4 linked regions of the Drosophila melanogaster genome follow. The protein of the gene in region 2 interacts with the protein of the main gene of each other region in a pairwise test. Each region holds a gene or a part of one and is shown on either strand. Other genes may lie near its edges.

What was found.
Region 1: the proteins of CG17237 (region 2) and ebd2 interact in a two-hybrid assay, tested with the Drosophila melanogaster proteins (one large-scale study listed by BioGRID).
Region 3: the proteins of CG17237 (region 2) and CG5191 interact in a two-hybrid assay, tested with the Drosophila melanogaster proteins (one large-scale study listed by BioGRID).
Region 4: the proteins of CG17237 (region 2) and ND-B14.5A interact in a two-hybrid assay, tested with the Drosophila melanogaster proteins (one large-scale study listed by BioGRID).

What each region holds. Positions count from the first base shown.
Region 1 is NT_037436.4:21,344,223-21,351,034, forward strand, and holds ebd2 (earthbound 2), read right to left. Parts: upstream 5,067-6,812; 5' UTR 4,820-5,066; intron 2,848-4,819; exon of another isoform or gene 2,816-2,847; intron 2,733-2,815; 5' UTR 2,533-2,732; coding exon 2,467-2,532; intron 1,854-2,466; coding exon 816-1,853; 3' UTR 546-815; downstream 1-545. Other genes in the region: CG32436 (uncharacterized protein), read left to right, coding at 1-440, 5,793-6,039, 6,117-6,240, 6,327-6,812.
Region 2 is NT_033779.5:2,287,963-2,291,176, forward strand, and holds CG17237 (uncharacterized protein), read right to left. Parts: upstream 1,455-3,214; 5' UTR 1,246-1,454; coding exon 667-1,245; 3' UTR 541-666; downstream 1-540. Other genes in the region: robl22E, read right to left, coding at 2,367-2,660.
Region 3 is NT_033777.3:20,558,932-20,563,875, reverse strand, and holds the start of CG5191 (uncharacterized protein), read right to left. Parts: upstream 3,012-4,944; 5' UTR 2,578-3,011; coding exon 2,577-2,577; exon of another isoform or gene 2,520-2,576; coding exon 2,465-2,519; intron 1,391-2,464; exon of another isoform or gene 1,233-1,390; coding exon of another isoform or gene 1-1,232. Other genes in the region: CG10877 (uncharacterized protein), read left to right, coding at 1-1,232; CG15922 (uncharacterized protein), read left to right, coding at 3,829-3,978, 4,040-4,093; CG5180 (uncharacterized protein), read right to left, coding at 4,289-4,615, 4,680-4,944.
Region 4 is NC_004354.4:2,170,801-2,173,991, reverse strand, and holds ND-B14.5A (NADH dehydrogenase (ubiquinone) B14.5 A subunit), read right to left. Parts: upstream 1,467-3,191; 5' UTR 1,350-1,466; coding exon 1,287-1,349; intron 1,187-1,286; coding exon 938-1,186; 3' UTR 560-937; downstream 1-559. Other genes in the region: Cyp4d14 (cytochrome P450 4d14), read left to right, coding at 1-495; CG3630 (uncharacterized protein), read right to left, coding at 2,064-2,837, 2,907-3,191.

The sequences.
Region 1 (6,812 bases), on a different chromosome or scaffold from region 2:
CGCCCCGCGATCGCGTCTGTCAGAAAAAGCCACCCAACTCCACGATCTCCCAAGTGCTAACCATCGAGGATGAGCTGCGTCGCATCCACCACAAGGCGGAGGAATCCCGCTTCACAAAGCCCTATAAAAAGAAATGTGACCTCTACGACGATTTAACCATGTGCATCGTGCCACAACGAACTCCAGCGGAGCTAAAGACCCATGCCGAGATGCGAGAGCGAATTCTGGCCGCGCGCAAGGACTTTGGACTCGTCGAGCACGACGCCAGGGTCGATAGGCCATGTCCCAAAGATCTCGTCGTCCTCAACAGTCCCATGGACATGGGCGAGGAGGAACAACAGGCGGAGGAGGGCGAGGAAGAGGAGGAGGGCGAGGTCAAGCCACAACTAGCCACTCCAGAATGCAGTTCTGATATGATAATTATTCCGGACAAACGCATGGTATGTTTAGATATAGCTTATAAACTTGGTATAGACAATATTTCTCGATTCGTATAAACTACGTATCCCAAATTACCACCATTTCCAAATTATCTGCGGATTATTAAATTTTAACATGATCATAATAAGCAATTCTGGTTTATTAACCTTTTAATCAATCAAATCGAATTTGATTTAAACTAAATTATGAAGTAGATCTCTTATTGTTGTTGTTTTAAGAATTAATCTTAATAAAAGTCGAAGGCCTTAAGTACTTTTTTGGTGAAATGAACTCATTTAAGTTCATAACAAAACGATTTGTTGATTATAAATAACAGTCGACTACGCTGAGGCATAAGTTTAGACTAGCTTTAACCTTTTGATAAATTGATGTTTTTACTCGATCAATTCGATGTCATCGATATCGGCGTAAATACTTCCCGGTGGCAGTTCCGAAAGAGCGATTTCTCCTGGATCGTCTTGCCCATCTCCATCGGTAGTCGCCAGCGACAGGTTATGATAAGCTCCAGAAACAGCCTGTTGCTGCATGTGCACTCCCAGCTGGGAGATAAGTTCCAATGCCTGTACATCCGAGTTCATCAGAGCGAACTGGTGGATAATGGCTAGATGCGGAAAAACCCCATTCAGAAGAGTACTGGTTCCAGCGTTAATCTGATCATCCGGGTTTTCCTGGTCGCCATGTGCCTGCAGAGGTATTTCCCCCTCTGCAGCATCTGGTGTGCTGGATGGTGAGGACATCATGGTGGGCTCACATGTTACCAGCTCCACTTCATTATCCCCCTCTGGATGATCGGACATGATACTGTTTTCGCTGGAGAGATTGACAAAATCTGCCATAACAGCTGCTTTTGAGATTGCTTCGCCTGGATTATCCAGCTCCCGTTGCATGAAGTTCGGCAGTGCATGCTTAAACTCCACAATGATGTCTTCGACAGGCAGGTCCTGGTTCAAGGGATTTTCGCCCTGGTAGCCCAATTCATCGGCCTCGTACTTGTACTTGTTGCGGAATCGGCTTAGCCATCGATAGGATGGTCTGAAGGATGGCAGGTTCAACACAGCTGCCATCCGGATGGCGGTTTCCTTCAGTTTTTGGTTCCTTATGCTGATGTTCAACTGCATTTGGATGCACCTTTCCACCCACTCGTGTAGTAGGAAGCTGATGGCACTCATTTCGAACTTGCGGCGCTTGCGCGTCATCTCTTCGATTATAATGGAGGCATCTGCCTCGCTTAAGGTGGCCAACTGCTGCAGCAGATCCTTTTTCTTATCCAAGATTCTACGTATTTGGGTGGCGCAGCAGTGGAACATCTTGGCCAGACTGTTCCTAGAGATGTTGGTCTCGTCATAGTAACGGATTACGGCAATCTTTTCGTAGAATGTCAGGATGTTACGCTCATTGCGACGGGATTTGATCTAAAATATAGAGAGGGAAGAGTATAAGATTAACCTAAGATTAGTATTAAATATATTTTAAGCAATTTAATAAATTATTAGATATCTGCAACTATTAGGGTACAAGCCACATTTGTTGACCACCTCTTATATCCTGTCGAAAATTTCCATGCAGAAGTGTTACTGGGCGGATAAGTAATTTTTTCTCTCAGTGTCGTATATATATATATACGTATATTTCTTTTCCAATAAGCTCTATAGAATTTGTACATTTTTATAGATAATATTATTGTTGTATATGAACATAGTGCGAATTTGGCATTACAATGAAAACAGAGGCCTATACGAACTGCAACACTAAGCTAGCCTTAAGGGATTAACGGCCTCCGTTTCGATCATGCAAAGGGTGTGCATGTAAAGGACCTTGGTTGCAAGCCACGCAGCTCAAGGGTAAATGAATGTACGATATGTGTGCGGTATACATGTACATATGTATGCATATGCTTGTGTACACGTGTTTAGTGTAACTGCCGCGTGTCCACTCGAGACACGTTATAAAATCCACCCTCAGCGGGTCGCTTAAGGGCCAAGTTAACAGACATATCTGGTCCCTTGTCCCTTTGCGACTACTTACCCCTTTGGTGTTGTTGTTGTTGTTGCGCCGCAACGTTGTTGTTGGCAGGGCGGCAATAGCAGCCATTTCAATAGTTGTGTTAAGTCAATTGCAACTAGGTTTCTGCTCTTTCCGTTCTCCTTCTTTTCCTTCTCCACTTCTTCTTTTCCGATAACTGCGCAGCAGCTTCTTGCGCTCTTACGGCTGTAGTCGTTCCGCTCTCGCGCCACTTAGATCATGCGTCAGAGGGAGATAGAGATGTGTTCGTGCGAGACTCCTTTTTGAAGCTGTTACAGAGAAAACGTAATAAAACAGAAATAAAAGCAATATTAATACTGTTGATGCAAATGGCTAAGCGTTTGTTAGTCACTTTTTACGAAAGTTGGCACGGCACGTTCTCAAATTCGCTTTGCCTCTGTATTAGCTTTTGTTGTTGCGCCTCTGACATTTTTACAATTACTGAGTAATAACACACTTGTGTGCCCTGTTTCTGTTTCTTGGTTCCGCTCTTCGTTTCTCTGCGCCTGTGTGTGTGTGCGTTCAGTGCGCGCTCCGTATGAAATAAAAACGGTTCACTATGCTCAATCCCTTTTGCATGGTGTTTGCTGTTGTAGCAACGCAGCTGTTACTTTTGTACAGTGCAGGTCAAGTTACTAGCGTACTTCACTAGAAAGGGTATTAAACCACTAGACAATGCTTAGATGATTTGATTGTAGGAAGAGATTAGAGCTGATTCTGGCAAACCAGGGAAGCAAGCAGAATATTTTGGGTTTCATAAGTAATTATAGTTGGCGAAAACAAAACAATATATACAATTTCATATTTGTCATATTAATAACAAATGCAGTTATCAACTGCAGAAAGGCTTAATTCTAGTAATAAAACATGGCAGTTTTTTTATGAATTAATATTAAGGCTTTCAAATATTCAATTACAGTCCTTATCCTGCAAATACCCCAAATACTTTGGGAACCCTGGTAACATCGACTACTTTTAAGGCGTTAATTGTTAATTTGCTGATCTTATGTATCTAGTATATATGTACATATGTATACATGTATAAATACATGTCTGCACCTAAAAAGTGAAACTCTCTATTTGCCCGCTGTTATGTGCGTTGTTGGTCTATTGCATCGGCAGTGGGCATGGTATGCAAAAGCAGTGCGGTTGCAGTCGCTTCGCTCTTGTGTCATATGCGTTTGCGTTTCGCCGCGTTTGTTGTTTGTTATGTATCAATTTTTGTTGTCGGTGGAAGGAGCAGGAGCGTGGCGATGACAGGAGGGGGTGGCAAGGCTATATGCTGGGTTACCGATTAAAGTCCGATTCCTCGTCGGATTGCCCGCCGCAAAAACCTCGCTCTATCTTGGCTAATTACCTTTGCGTCACAGATAAGAGCCTGTCTACTTTTACTCTTCCAACGATTCGTTTGGTGGCCGAAGTGATATAAGCTCGCTCTAAAGTCTTTGGGGCGTTCATAGCTAGCTTCTTATCGGTCCAGATCGTTGTTAGACAACAGAGAAATTCCCTATTATTCGTTCATTTAAACTAACTGTCTAAAAAGGTATAGTTATTGTATGTTTTAGGCACTAAAAGAACATCAATTCTGTTCAGCATTATTTTTGTTAGCTATATACTAGCTATTAAAAAGGTCCTTGAAATAAAACTATTAAATGAAGTTTACTCTTTTGAAGTTTTCTCTGTATATGCAGACAAGCTCTGTTTTTCGAGGTGCCAGACCGCTGCTTACAAAACACTTGGCTGTCCATCCCCATATGCATGTGTATCTCAATTTCGCTGGGCGGCTGCACCTCGCAAATACCAAACTTAAGTTGAGTTTTAAGCCATCTCGAAGTTTGCTCTTGCAGCCTCAGCATCATTGATGAAAGGGCTGCCTTAAAGTGGAATACTTCAGCAGTTCCTAGTCTTTCTTTGAATTAGGTCTCTGGATGAAATTAATAACTTATGGTCATTTTCTTGTATTTCACTGACATTTAATTATATATTAAGAATATTCGTTTGCATAAGGTATATGATAACTCAAAAAAACATGTCCTTTGGATCCCACTACATGAATAAAATAAGCATTTGTCTTCTCAAAGTATTGTTCTTAAAATAAAATATAATTAAGTGGACATCCCACCACACCTGCCTTGCGAATGATCATGTGTCTGAAGTCCCCGTACGCGGAACACACCGAGCCCCATCGTAACCCCGCCTAGTTTGACATTTTGCCAGCTAGCTCGCCCATGGAAAGAGGGTTGCGTTGTTGGAATTGGAACCGACTTGTACTGTTGGCAAGTGCGCCTTGGTATTGGTGTTAGTATTGGTATTGACGTGGTCGTATGCTATAACAGTGCGATACTGCGGCGCTCACCTGGTTCACCTGGTCGTCGATTTGGATGCCTGTTGTTTCTGTTTTTGCTGCAGCACGCTACTTACTAGATGACTTGTTTGTTCTGCAGCCGAGGCAGCTTCGTATTTGCTCGGGGTCCGGGTTTTTGGTCTCGGGCTAGTCGGTTTTTGGTCTGGTTGGGTTTTTGGCTTTTGGACGACCGAACGAACGAGAGCGATAAGATTCCGTGATGTGGCACTAAGCGCTGTTCGTTGTTTACTGCTCTGTGCATGGGACGCCTCTGTTGTTTGGTGCCCGTCATCGTGGCCAGCCAGCCATAGAGGCACACTCACCAACACAGACGCACTGCGAACCCATACATATATAGCGCATGCCATCGTATACCACATATAGCGCGGCGACATCAGGTCGTTATAGTCAGTCTAGTTGGCATTTCGTGCTTACCTTATGCCGCTAACTAACTTCTTGATGAGCGCAAAAAACAGCGGAGGAGAAAAAACAGGCCTCCCGTAAATACCATCCATACCATACCTTGCCATACAACACAATACTGAAATGCCATACCCAGACCAAGACCAAGGCAAAGACCAACGGGGCGTCGGGCATCGGTGGCGTATGCGTGCTATTTTCAGCCGCATTAAAAGCTTATGGCCATGGCCAGGAAAACCGAGTCGCCGAGTGAAAGCACAGAGCTTGCACAGAGCCAAGCGTTGATAACTGGCCATATGTTACCCAATCCATCGCCAGCCAAGACTATGAATTCACTGAATATTTCAATTGGCTGGACATATCCTTACGCAATTTGGGTTACACTAAGTGCGCCATTTGTTGACCACACATACAGAAATTATTTGGATATGGTTGTAATGTATTTTAGCTTATTTTTATTTTATTCATGTATATCGGTTGCAATTATAAATTTAATTTACCGACCTCATTGAATATTAATATAATCTTAAAAAAAAGAAATGATATATTTATACAACCTGCGCAGTTGGAGCTAAAGCGTCCCAAGAGTCGCATATACCTAAACGAAACTGAAGTTGGACCCTTGGAGGAGCTCCCCTTTTCATCTTACAATCCGCGAATCCTGCAAGAAGGCTTAGAAGGAGAAAACCTCAAGACCTTCGATATCATTGAGGGCTGCAGTCCACAGGATTTGTGGACCTGGAATGTGGGCTACCAGAAGAGAGAGGAGCATATGGATCAGGAGTTCATATCCGCCTCCCTGCCGAAATATGGTGTGTAGTTAGCGAATAGAACTATCTTTTTTCCAAGAGATTTGCATTCCTAATCTAGGCTTTTCAAAATTTCACAGAAAACGACGGCGAACTTACGCTCTATAATATACCACAACAGCTGGAAAAGACGTTTACTGCTGAGATTGTGTTTGGGAATCGGAACATCTATCCTGAACCAAAGAAGGAGCCCAACCGTTTGCAGTGAGTAATCTGATTTCTTTGCTAGTAATGCTTAGTTACTAATACCCTCCAATAAAATATATAACTCCTCCTTACATTAAATCCAGGTACTATTATCGGCCTAGTGAAATCGGTGCCATTATAGTCGCTTTCGTAGAGACCTTTCGTTTGAATCCCGATTTCTGGACGGGATCTACAATGGATGGGATTCTAAAGCGCGGAGTGAAATTGACCAAAAAGAGCGCCGACCTAAACTACAAGTCAGACGTGAATGATTTCGATATAATCCAACAGGTTGCGGAACGAGACGCCGCCGTTGAGATTAAGATACACTTCTCGGGACTTTTGAAAAACGAACCAAATATGTACAAAGCACTTTCCCTATTCTTCTCCAAATACAATGCCTGCATCTTTACGTCCCGGGATCTCTTCCTGCTGATCTGGAAGCGCTGCTTAAACTCGTACTATATCTTCGATCCCAATGGACGTGATGAAAACTGCGAACGGAATTTCGAGGAGGGAAAGTGCTCACTGATGGCCACTCGCTATACGGAGCACTTGGTCCATTTGATCACCAAGTTTAGCGATCTGCA
Region 2 (3,214 bases):
TGCCACCACCAGCCGCACCCGAATACTAGTGCTCCTATTTCCAATCTTCCCCACCGAATCGCTGACCACAGCTGGAGGCATCATCACGCATTAGCATTAGGCACTTTCCATGTTTTGGGGCAGCGCTTTGAAATTATTTGCAATCCATTGCACTTGTTCTGGGCGGCCAGCGTTTCCGATTCCGAATCCCACTACCAAATGGATGATGAACTCAGCTGTCCAGCTGCCTTTTTGGGTCATTCATTTCCCTGCAGAGTACTGGGTGTGGTGAACAATTAATGATGCCATATGTGGGGCACTCTGTATAAATAATGGCACTGAGGGCAGTTTCGATTGATTCACAGATGCCACTCTCCAGTTACATTTTATGAAATAATACCAGCAGAATAGGAAAGAAATCTACCTAATCTGATGATTACCCCTTATCATATATATATGTATATATGTATGTACCTTGCTGCTTATTTTTTCAGACCGCCTGAAAATATGCAATCCTTCTTTGGACTGCATAGCTTTGGAAACATTAAGGTTGCTCTCTTTGGGTTTTTAAACAAACATTTATTTGAAACACATTTTTCACCTGTCTAAATATGGTTTGTTTTCCGGGCTATTCTTCCATTTCCAGCTCCTCTGAATGACTCTCCTTTCCTTTTGATTTCCCCCAAGTTACCCATAGATAATGTCTTGAACCAGCTTCTTGTAGTCGACCAAGCCGTCTTTGTTGATCCTACCCTGGAGCAGCTCGTCCACTTCCATGCTGCCCATGCACTCCCCGGTCTTGGTTAGAATGCGCCGGAGTCTGATGGCGGGAATCCAACCGGACTTATCCGTATCAAAGACCCTTAGACTGGATACGAACTGGTCCGCCTCGATCTGTTTTTTCTTGGGAGACAACATGCCGCCGTGCTTGCCAAGACTGGAGTAGATGCCCATGACCTCATCGAAGCATATGCGCTGCATGGTGGAGGCCTCGTACTGGCGGACATGTTTGCTGACCATCGCCTCCGTGGGAGTGGCGCCCATCGCACGCAGACAGTGGCCCAGGTGCCGGATGGATATCTTATTGTCGCCGCGAGTGTCGTGCCCCAGAAAAATCGCATGCATCTCCATGATGCGGCTTTTCTCTGGCTTTGGGTTCGGAGGAGGAGCTGTCATGTCGCCTCGCCGCTTCTGATTGCAGTCCGGTGTGGTCGATGATGGACGGATTGATGACGGGTGGAGTTGATTGCCTTTCCTGGACATCATTGGATCGGTTGTACGAGTAACGTTCACGGTTTATGGATTACGGATTTCGGGATGGACGTGTGCAGCCAACAATCTATGTTATGTTTGCTGTTAAGTGACACACATGCTTTCGGGAAAATGGAAAACAATGATTGGAAGACACAGAAATATGATTACGCCGGACATGCTGACAGGTGAAAGACGACTGGCTTGATTCGGATTTAATTTACAATTGTCAAAAGGAAATTTTATAAAGAAAACATGATCCTAGGATCCAATCCAAGGTAATACAACTATAAATAAGAACAGGTTTATAAAAAAAATCAATTAACATCTCTAACAGTAAGGAAACAGGAAAAGCAGCTGCAGAAAATAGCTACATCGATGTAGATCATGGTAAAGTGCATTTAGTCATTAGGCTAATGAAGTTAAGGCTCTAGGATCGAGGTGAAAAATAACTTATCCACTTTTCTGCCCCCCTTTTGCGGTGTCTCGAATTGATGGCTGCGACAGTAGTGCTCTATATCCTGCCACAACTGTTCATGAAGTTATCTCGAGTGAATAGTTTCGTCCTGCACCGGTGGATAGATGGATTGGCATCGATGTCCTGGCCTCCCGAGAGGCGCCCGTGTGACTTTACCAAGTTATCTGCTTGGTTTTTGCCTCGCCCACTGCTCATAATGCACTTTGCATGTAAAATATTTAATTAAATGAAAAATAGCAAAGCCCAGAGGAGGAACCTCCACTTCGGTGGCCGTGGCATCCGTATCCCTACATGCTCGCATCCTGGCGAGGCCGCAAAAAAGTTTATTTGTTTCGTGGCTGCCTCAGTCAGTCTTCATTTATTGTAAATGAGTTTGCCCGGACAGGATGCCGGGTTTCGTGGGGTAAAGGATCCATGCATATCGTATATGTATGCATGCGGGCCAAAGGATGCATATCGAATAAGAGTGCTCCGCACGCAAGTGACATTCCAATTCAATTGCGATTCCCAATGCAAATAATTTGCAACTGAATGCTATTAATGACGAAATGCTGGTGTGCGAAATCGAGACTATGCCGAGTATTTTAATAACATTTACTGAACACTCTGCCTGAAAATAATTGCCAGCGGAATGAGCTTGGGCCTGGAATATTGTGCTCTAGTCGCACGGGCTCTGGATCACCATGATGAAGTAATCTTCCTGCGGGCACAGCATCACCTCATTCTGCTCAGTCCGCAGCCGCAGGAAGGTGAATTCGTTGGTGGCGTCCAGATCCAGGACCACCTGGCGAGCCTTCTCCCGCACCGTTTGCATCAGTGCCGCGTAGTGGAGTGTCAGAGTGTAGTCCAGGGTCGTTTTGATCGGAATGCCGTCGTTGTCCACCACAACTATGCCGGTGACGTTCTTCATGGACTGAAAGCGCTTCAATAGTTCCTCCACTTCGGCGGACATCCTTGCGTCTATTCGATTACCTTATTAGAGAAATTTCGATGCAAAGAAGGTGTTCGTTCTGCTACTACAATACAACCATACATGCAAATGAATGAAAGCTCCGGGCATACTTGAAGTAACTCACTCACTTCACTAAATATATTTTCAAATTTAATCAGACTACTCGTTAGCATAGTTCACAATAGTTTAATACTAAGAAATATTCCCCATATTACAACTAACTTTGCATATTTCCATTTGATATCCGTATAATTGAGGCTGCTTTGTCATCTGTCGGGTTCATTTCATTTGCCAGTTTAACGAGTCGATACAAGTTTTATGATGTTCGGCATAATCCGGGAGATTCTGGCGCTGTTGTGTCCGTAAATAAGCATTCAAGTTGGCAACAATGCCGGATGTCGGACTGCAAAAGTTTCGCTTTTGTGGATGGCAGAAGTACGGAAAATTAATTGAATGCTGTTGATGCTGCCAGTGCCCCTGCCTTGGCTCCTGATCCGGATTCCGATTCCGATTCTGTTCCTGTTCTGGCTCCTGCTCTCCGGACCACTCGAAAT
Region 3 (4,944 bases), on a different chromosome or scaffold from region 2:
ACAACGCAGCCGATAATGCTAATGCCAGCGATGTGGACGAACGCCACCCGCTGCATGGTATCCGGATTTTGGACCTATCGCGCATCATCGCCGGCCCCTATTGCACCATGGTTCTGGCGGATCTCGGCGCGGAAGTTATCAAGGTGGAGCGTCCACACTTTGGCGATGAGGCGCGTAAGTGGGGACCACCCTTTCTAAAGAACAGCAACGATGCCGCCTACTTCCTGGCTCCCAATCGCAATAAACGGAGCATCTGCATCGATATCAAGCGCGGCACGCAACTCCTTCATCGCCTGGCCGAGATTAGCGACGTGCTGGTGGAGAATTATGTGCCCGGCACCTTGGAGCGTTACGGCCTGGGCTACGAGCAGTTGCGTAAGGTGAATCCCAAACTGATCTATTGCTCAATGACGGGTTATGGCTCTGTGGGACCGTATGCCAAGCGACCCGGCTACGATGTGATTGCCTCCTCGGTTGGAGGACTGATGCACATCACCGGCGAGCGGGATGGACCGCCCAGCAAGGTGGGCGTGGCTGTGACGGATATGTCCACAGGACTGTACGCCCATGGAGCAATTTTGGCAGCCCTCTATCAAAGGACCCGCACGCAACGTGGCCAGAAGATCGAAGTCGACCTGTTGTCCACCTGCTGCTCCCTGCTGCTCAACGTGGGTAGCAACTACCTGAATTCCGGGGTCGAAGCAGGAAGGATGGGCACCGCACACTCCAGCATCGTTCCGTATCAGAGCTTCAAGACGAAGGACGGCTATCTCACCCTGGGCACTGGCAGTGATGTTCAGTTTGTGGACCTGTGTCGCCGCCTAAAAGTGGAACATTTGGCGCAGAATCCCAAATTCAAGACCAACAAGGATCGTGTGACCAATCGAGTGGAGCTGCTGGGAATCCTAGAGCAAATGCTATCCGAGGACACCTCGCGCAACTGGATGAAACTTTTCGAGGGCGCCTCCTTTCCCGTGGGACCTGTTAACTCCATTCCCGAGGTCTTCGAGGACGAGCATATAAAAGCCATTGGCCTGGTGAAAAGCCTGCGGCATCCCAAGGACGAAACAGTCAAGGTGGTTGGTCCTCCTGTGACCTTCAGCGAAGCGCGAAACGATGCCCGGACAGCTCCTCCGATTCTTGGCCAGCACACGGATGAAGTGCTGGGCGAACTACTGGGTTACGGGCCGGATGAGCTGGCCAAGCTGAAGAAGGATAACATTATTCAGTAACCCGATTGGGATTTCGGACAGTCTAAAGTGATTTGAATTCCTAAATCCTCTGATATATACTGCTTTATATGGTCTTTTGCGACCAATATTTTAGTGATAATCATGCATTTACCATTAGACCGACTAAAGGCCTTAAAAAATAAATGACAATTTCTCATAAAAATGCAACGAATAACATGAAGAGGCTGGACTAACGATCTGATAGCTAAGTAATACAAAGTCGTTAGCGGAATTTCATTAGAACTCGATTTGCTAACTTCTACGACGGGGTCAAAAGACCATGAAAAAGGGCAAAGATTATTTTTCGTATAATCTCGTATGTGTCGTAAATATCATGAAGTAAATGACTGTAAACATTTTGATTTTTACCTAGTTAAGGTACGATGTATACGCAACCAAACAAATACGGCTAGAAAGCTATTTCCTGGTCGGGGTGAAATATACTGGATTAAACGTCAACACTTAAAGCTATAATCAAAAACACGTTCGTTAAATATCGTCAATTAGTATCTCACAAACTCAAAATGCGATATCTCTATAGAAATCGAAATTAGGCTAAGCTGAAATTCCGAAACGAATGTTACATGGTATAACTACTACGACTGAAAATGGGCTTAAGAACAATATGCGCGCCTTTAGTTTAAGGCAGTAGTTTAAACAATGCATGAGCCATTATGAAACGGTCTTATAAACGGTCTTCAAAGGGTAATGTTCAGATTTCAGCGATATACATAGAAAGATTACATGAAACCAAGCTCCATGGATATGAATAATATATTGCTTAAGCAGAATTATAGACTTTTGATATCATTTCGAAAAATAGAATAGGTAAATACCGGCCAAGCAAATTTAGACTGCGTCAATACGTGAAAACATTCTTTCCACAGCTTCCATCAAGTAGATCATAATATCATAAGATCTAACTGATTATCAAATATTGACCTTAATGTCGATCGAGCTATATGTTGTCTACACAAGAAGTCCTAACGCACTCTACACTTTAAGTCCTTGATGCAATATTCTCCAATGATTCTGCAGTTGTCCATTGACCTCTTTTCTTTGTGACAAGAAGGTGATAGTCGTTTTCTTCTATGGATTTCTATTTCTAATAATAATTTCTATTCCCTGGCCTTGAACGTAATCGCTTGATTGGCCTGTTCCGACAGGCGGAGTAGTAGCCGTGCAGGATGAGTGATTGGGGCGGGGTTCTTGCGCACCGGCGATTCGCTTACCTGAGCCACAGCTCCTCCAGGTGCAAACGGATGACGGTCACTATCGATTTCAGCACTGGCAAAAAGGTCGGATTTAGGGGCAGGTGGCACAACTATGGGTGGGAGAACTCACTTGCAAATCAACCAAAAATACAAATATGTAGGTCTGTATGTGTATGTGTATAAACTGTCCAATGGAGCGTCTGCTCGCCAGGAACCCAAAACTAAAACTGAAACTACAACTCAAATTGCAGGTGCTGTCCAAAATGGAATAGCAACAACAACGGCAGCGACGTCGACGTCTATAACAGAATTTGTTTGTTTTGGCCCACTGTTGTCGTTGTTGTTGTTACTGCCGCTGCCGTTGTTGTTTGTGTGCGCAAAGTGCATAGACCGCATCCGCGTCTTAGCCTCCAGCTTGGCCCCAAAGCCAGCGCCCCATCCGATCCCGCCCACGCCCCTCCGGCGACGCGGGTGTGGATTTCGCACTTAATGGGTTGAGTTGGGAATATGGGAAAAGGTTAGTTGGCGACGCAGTGGGCTATCAATTAACAGTTAGTTAACTGCCTCTTCGCCTTGCCTGCAAAGTGTGACCAGAACAGGGATTGAGACGGGAGGTTACGGTCATACTTAATTTCTAATTTAATTCATAATTTGAAATAAAATTGGTTTTATTGTGACGATAAATTTATAGCTTATTTTACGGTTTTTAAAACAGATTAAGTTAAAATTTCAGATTTCAGCTTATAATTATTTCATACATATTTTCTAATTTTTCCGAATTAGTTTGTCCACTAAGAACTTTAAGCACCTAAAATTATTTTTCATCTTTCTGTTATTTGAATTCAAAGCTTAGACAATTTTAACTTGTACGTAAAGTAGTATAATTACACATTTTTGTTTTTTAACTATTATAATCTTATGTTAGTTATAAAAGCGAAGGACCTTACCAGTTACTTCAGGCCTTCTATAATCACAAAAAGTCTTTAAAGAATTTCGCAGCAACTAATATACCCTACGAGAAGTGAAGTTCCCCTTTACAATGCCATTGATCTACTCTAACCACCTCCACCGCATTTGTTATTAAAACCAGCCACCGCAACAAACTAATGACAGATGCTTATCTGCCCAAGCAATCGAAGTCCCAGACAAAGAATTGCGAGACGTTTAGTTTCCCATTATTATCCCCGAAAACGTTGGACTTTGGACCAAGTTGGGGGAGATAGAAACTTTATTCAAAACTAGCCGCCCGTTTTGGGGCAGCGTTATAGGTTGGTATTTTTCGTTGATAAGATTAAACAAACATCGCAATGCGGTCACATCGTCATTGTTGATTTGTGATAGCTGTTAAATAATAATAATTCCGTTTTACGAATTTTGTAAAGATGAGCAAGCAGCCCTCGTTCGTGTCGCGCAACCTGGTGGCCGTCGTGATGATCCCCAGTCTGGTGGGGATCCATCTGGGCTGGAGCTACATGCAGAGCAACCGAAAACTGGTCACGGAGGCGGAACAGATCGAGATGCCGCCGGTCACGGTATGTTAGTCCTAATTCTTAAGGCGATCACCTCAAGACAGCAGCTCCTCTTTTTGTCCAGTTTGCCAGGTTTGTGTGGAACAAGCTAACGGGCGCAGGAAGTTCGACGGAATGACAAACCCTCTGGTGATGAGCTTAAGACATACAATCTATTTATTGTATAGAATAATTAAAACTACATGCAAACTGTATGGTACAATCGGCTGCTGCCCGGGCGACACATGTTGGCCGGGCTGCAGGTTGGGACACAGACAAAATGGAGATATAAAGCCAGAGACTACACATACTTAGTCTAGGGGGACAAGAGAGATTACTGCGTGAGGGCCGAGTGAACGGTGAGGTTGCCCAGCTGTGCGTTGAATAGAACGTCGCTGATCAGTTTCTCGGCCACGATCCGCTGCGTCGGGTTGATGGAGCGCAGTTTGCTCGCCACATTCACGCCAATGGCATCGTACTCGTCGTCTTGCCGGTGCGATGTGCTCGTAGCCGCTGTGGTGGTATAGGCAGTGGTGCCGGCATTGCCAAACAATGGCTGATAGTGATCGCGGCCTATCTGGATGGTGGGAACGCCCTGATGTTGGCCATTCGTCTGCTGCAGGTGGAGCTGCTGCTGGTGGTGCTCCAGATGATTGACCGCCTGCGTGGGGAGAGGAGGTGATTGAAGACCCTAAGGAACTCTTCACTGCTTTGGAGCTACTCACTTGTTGTATCTCGCGCTGGGAGTTGGAGTCTAGGGAGGTGATCTCTAAGACCTTCACGGCATGTCCCTGAGCCGCCGCCGCCGCAATGGAGGTCTGGGCTGCTGCATGGGCTACCATTTGCTGGTGTGCTTGGGCTGCGGCTGCCGCTGCTTCGGCCGCCTGGTGCTCCTCGCTCTTGACAAGGGTCACACATTCCGCGGGCGTCACCGAAATGGTGCTCAGAGTGGCGCCCTGACTGCTGACGACCACATTGTTGGCCGTCGCC
Region 4 (3,191 bases), on a different chromosome or scaffold from region 2:
GAGGTCAGAGATGTTATCGGTGATGACAAGTCGGCTCCAGTTACTATGAAGCTACTCGGCGAGCTCAAGTACTTAGAGTGCGTGATAAAGGAGTCTCTGCGCCTGTTTCCCTCGGTGCCGATCATTGGACGCTACATTTCCCAGGACACCGTACTCGACGGCAAATTGATACCCGCCGACTCGAATGTGATCATTCTTATTTACCATGCTCAGCGCGATCCAGACTACTTCCCTGATCCGGAGAAGTTCATCCCTGATCGTTTCAGCATGGAGCGCAAGGGCGAGATCAGTCCATTCGCCTATACTCCCTTCTCAGCGGGTCCGAGAAACTGCATCGGCCAAAAGTTCGCAATGCTCGAGATGAAGAGCACCATCAGCAAAATGGTGAGACACTTTGAGTTGCTGCCTCTGGGCGAAGAAGTCCAGCCCGTACTGAACGTTATCCTGCGCTCGACCACCGGAATCAATTGTGGCCTCAAGCCGCGCGTCTATTAGGTGTTCCTGGATTGTGATTTTTTTTTTTTAACTAGTTGTAAGTGATGGGCTCTGTAAATATTTGAATAAAATACTTGTACATAATGATATCCAGTGATGGATGGTGTTTTTTCCGGCGAGTGTGATTTGGAAATAATGTGGACTGGTAAGGGGTTCTCACTTGGCCCCCCATAACTGGACATACCAATGCCCGCATTCCTGCTTCAATTTGATTCTATATTAGCTTTAACCGGCTCGTACTACAACTCAAAAAAAAATGGATGGTGATTTTTCCCGGAAGTGGGGTTTCGAAACATTGTGGGCTGGTAAGGGGCCTTTCACTTGGCCCTTCATCACTGAACATACCAATGCACGCATTTCTGCTTCAATTTGATTCTATATTAGCTTTAACCGGCTCGTACTACAACTCAAAAAAAGGCGATTCCCGCGGTGATGCGGCCCATTAATCCCAGGCATAGACCTTGCCGGGAGTGGGCAGCTTGGAAGACGGGGCCTTCGCCGCTTCCCCCTCTGCCGCCAGCTGCTTCTGCTGCTCCACCAGGTCGATGGGCGGCAGAACCTCGCGACGTCCATCCCGCTGGCAGTAGTAGTTGGCCGAGAGTAGATGCGATGGACCGTCAGGGATTTCCGGCTGTGGCTGGGTGCGATCGGCCAGTCCGTCCTCGAAGCGCAGGGCCAGGTTGTGCTCCCGCTGTAATTGGCGTCCAGATTAATCAGAGATTCACATTTTCCGTCTTATATAACTGAGAACCGAGTTCTCTGCGGTCGCTGTCCAAATGTCGGATACTCACACCCAGGAGGAAGGCCCGAATGCGCTGGATTAAAGGCGACACATCACGGCGCAGGGCAGACATTTTCCGTTTGTATTATTCTTCAAATTGAGAAACCACTGAATATTTTGGTTTTATATTTATTTGTGAGGTCCAGCCCTGTCGTCCAATCGATATCAGCTGCTTGAAATTACGAAGTATCGTTAATCGATACCCACGCCTCGTCCTCTTAACTTTGCTTTGCTGCCCTGCAATTGATATACTTATCGATAACTATCGCGAAGAAAAGTTGATATAGTAACGGCCGAATTTTTAATTAAAGATTAAAAGCAGAGAACAACTACGAGAAAGAGCACATAAAACTGCCTAGGCAATGAGTCATTTAGTTAGTTATGAAACCAGCACTTCCAATCGTTTTGAAACTAGAAAAACAGGACTTGGTTATATTGTGTCTATGTACGTGTATTTATTTTATTAGTATTTTATTGCCTTGCACGTTCCCAACTTTTGTGAGTGGGAAACCGTAGTTCATTTCCATAGAGTAATGGTTAACAAATTGAGGAAACTGGCTCCTTTGGTCGTCCATTAATAATATACAAGTAATAATAATAAATAAAAAGTTACTCTCGATTCTGTCTTCAGTGTTGTGTTGCTCTAATTGTAAATTAAACTAAGTACGCCGTAAACTAAACTACTGCAATTTAAAGCTGCCGCTTTAGTAGTTGCGAGAGTTCCTTTTAAACGATTTAAGGGGATGTTCCTTCCTTCCTTCCCAGCTAACAAGCTCCCTGTTCCGCCTTAAGCGGGCGTCGACTCTGGTTGGGATTGGGACTGGTCTGGCGAGGACTCGCTGGCCGTTCCGGGACTGGGCGCCAGCTGCTCCACGCTGACGGTGCGTACAAACTCGGCGGTGGCTTCAATCACAATTGTGGGTAAGTCATCAGCAGGTCCTGCCGGTGCAACTGCAGCGGGTGCTTCCTCCGCCTGCGGTTCGCTGGTGGTTGGTGTGGTTTCTTCTGTGGATGGTGCTTCTGTGACTATCACAGCCACGGGCGCCTGTTCGGTCACCTCTGGCTTGGCTGGCTCGATCTCAACGGTACTCGAAGCAGGAGCTGTTGCCGGTGTGGGCTCTGTAGACGGAGCTGGAACTGCTGCCATAGTGGACTCTGCCACAGGAGCAGGTTCTGCAGAAGTTGTGGGCCCAGCCACAGGCGTGACTTCTGCAGCAGGCGCAGGAACAGGTACAGGAGCCTTGGGTGCCGGCGACGCTGACTTCGACTTGGCGGACTTGCCCACAGCCGGCGAGGGAGTCCTCGACTTCAGTTTTTGTTCGTGAGCACTGCGATCCATCAGCACCGAGGTGGACTGCGGAGGCGCTGGACTAGCCGCCCTCTTGATGTCTTCAATCTTGGCCTCCATCTCACTGCGTATTTCCTTGATGGGCTTCAGCAGAAAGACGGGAACGTCATCGTCCCTCCGCTGGTACAACATCTCGCCCTCGAAGTCTACCAACTTGTGTTTGCGGGCCCGCAGCAGGATGCCCACCACCTTGTCGGATATGTAGTTATAGATCTGTAGAGTGGAAGTGACCAGTTTAGAGGGCTTTTCGAAAAATATACCAGCTGTAAACAGGACACTCACATTAAAAAGTTCGCCGAAGGGGATCACACGCATAGTGGGCTCGTCCTTGACGTCGTAGCCCTCCGAATTGATGATCTGGCAGAGCTCCAGCATCTCCTTCATCACGTGGATGTTGGCCTTCTGGCCACGCATCTCTGTAAGGCTGCCGGCCAGTGGTTTTCCATACTGATCCTTCGAGAAAGTGGGTTTCGGCGAGGCGGCGCGTCCGTCCTGGGAAAATGGATTCAGCAGCTGCGACTGCTTGTGCTGCGTGGCCTGGTTGTTGAACATGGCCACCTTGGAGGA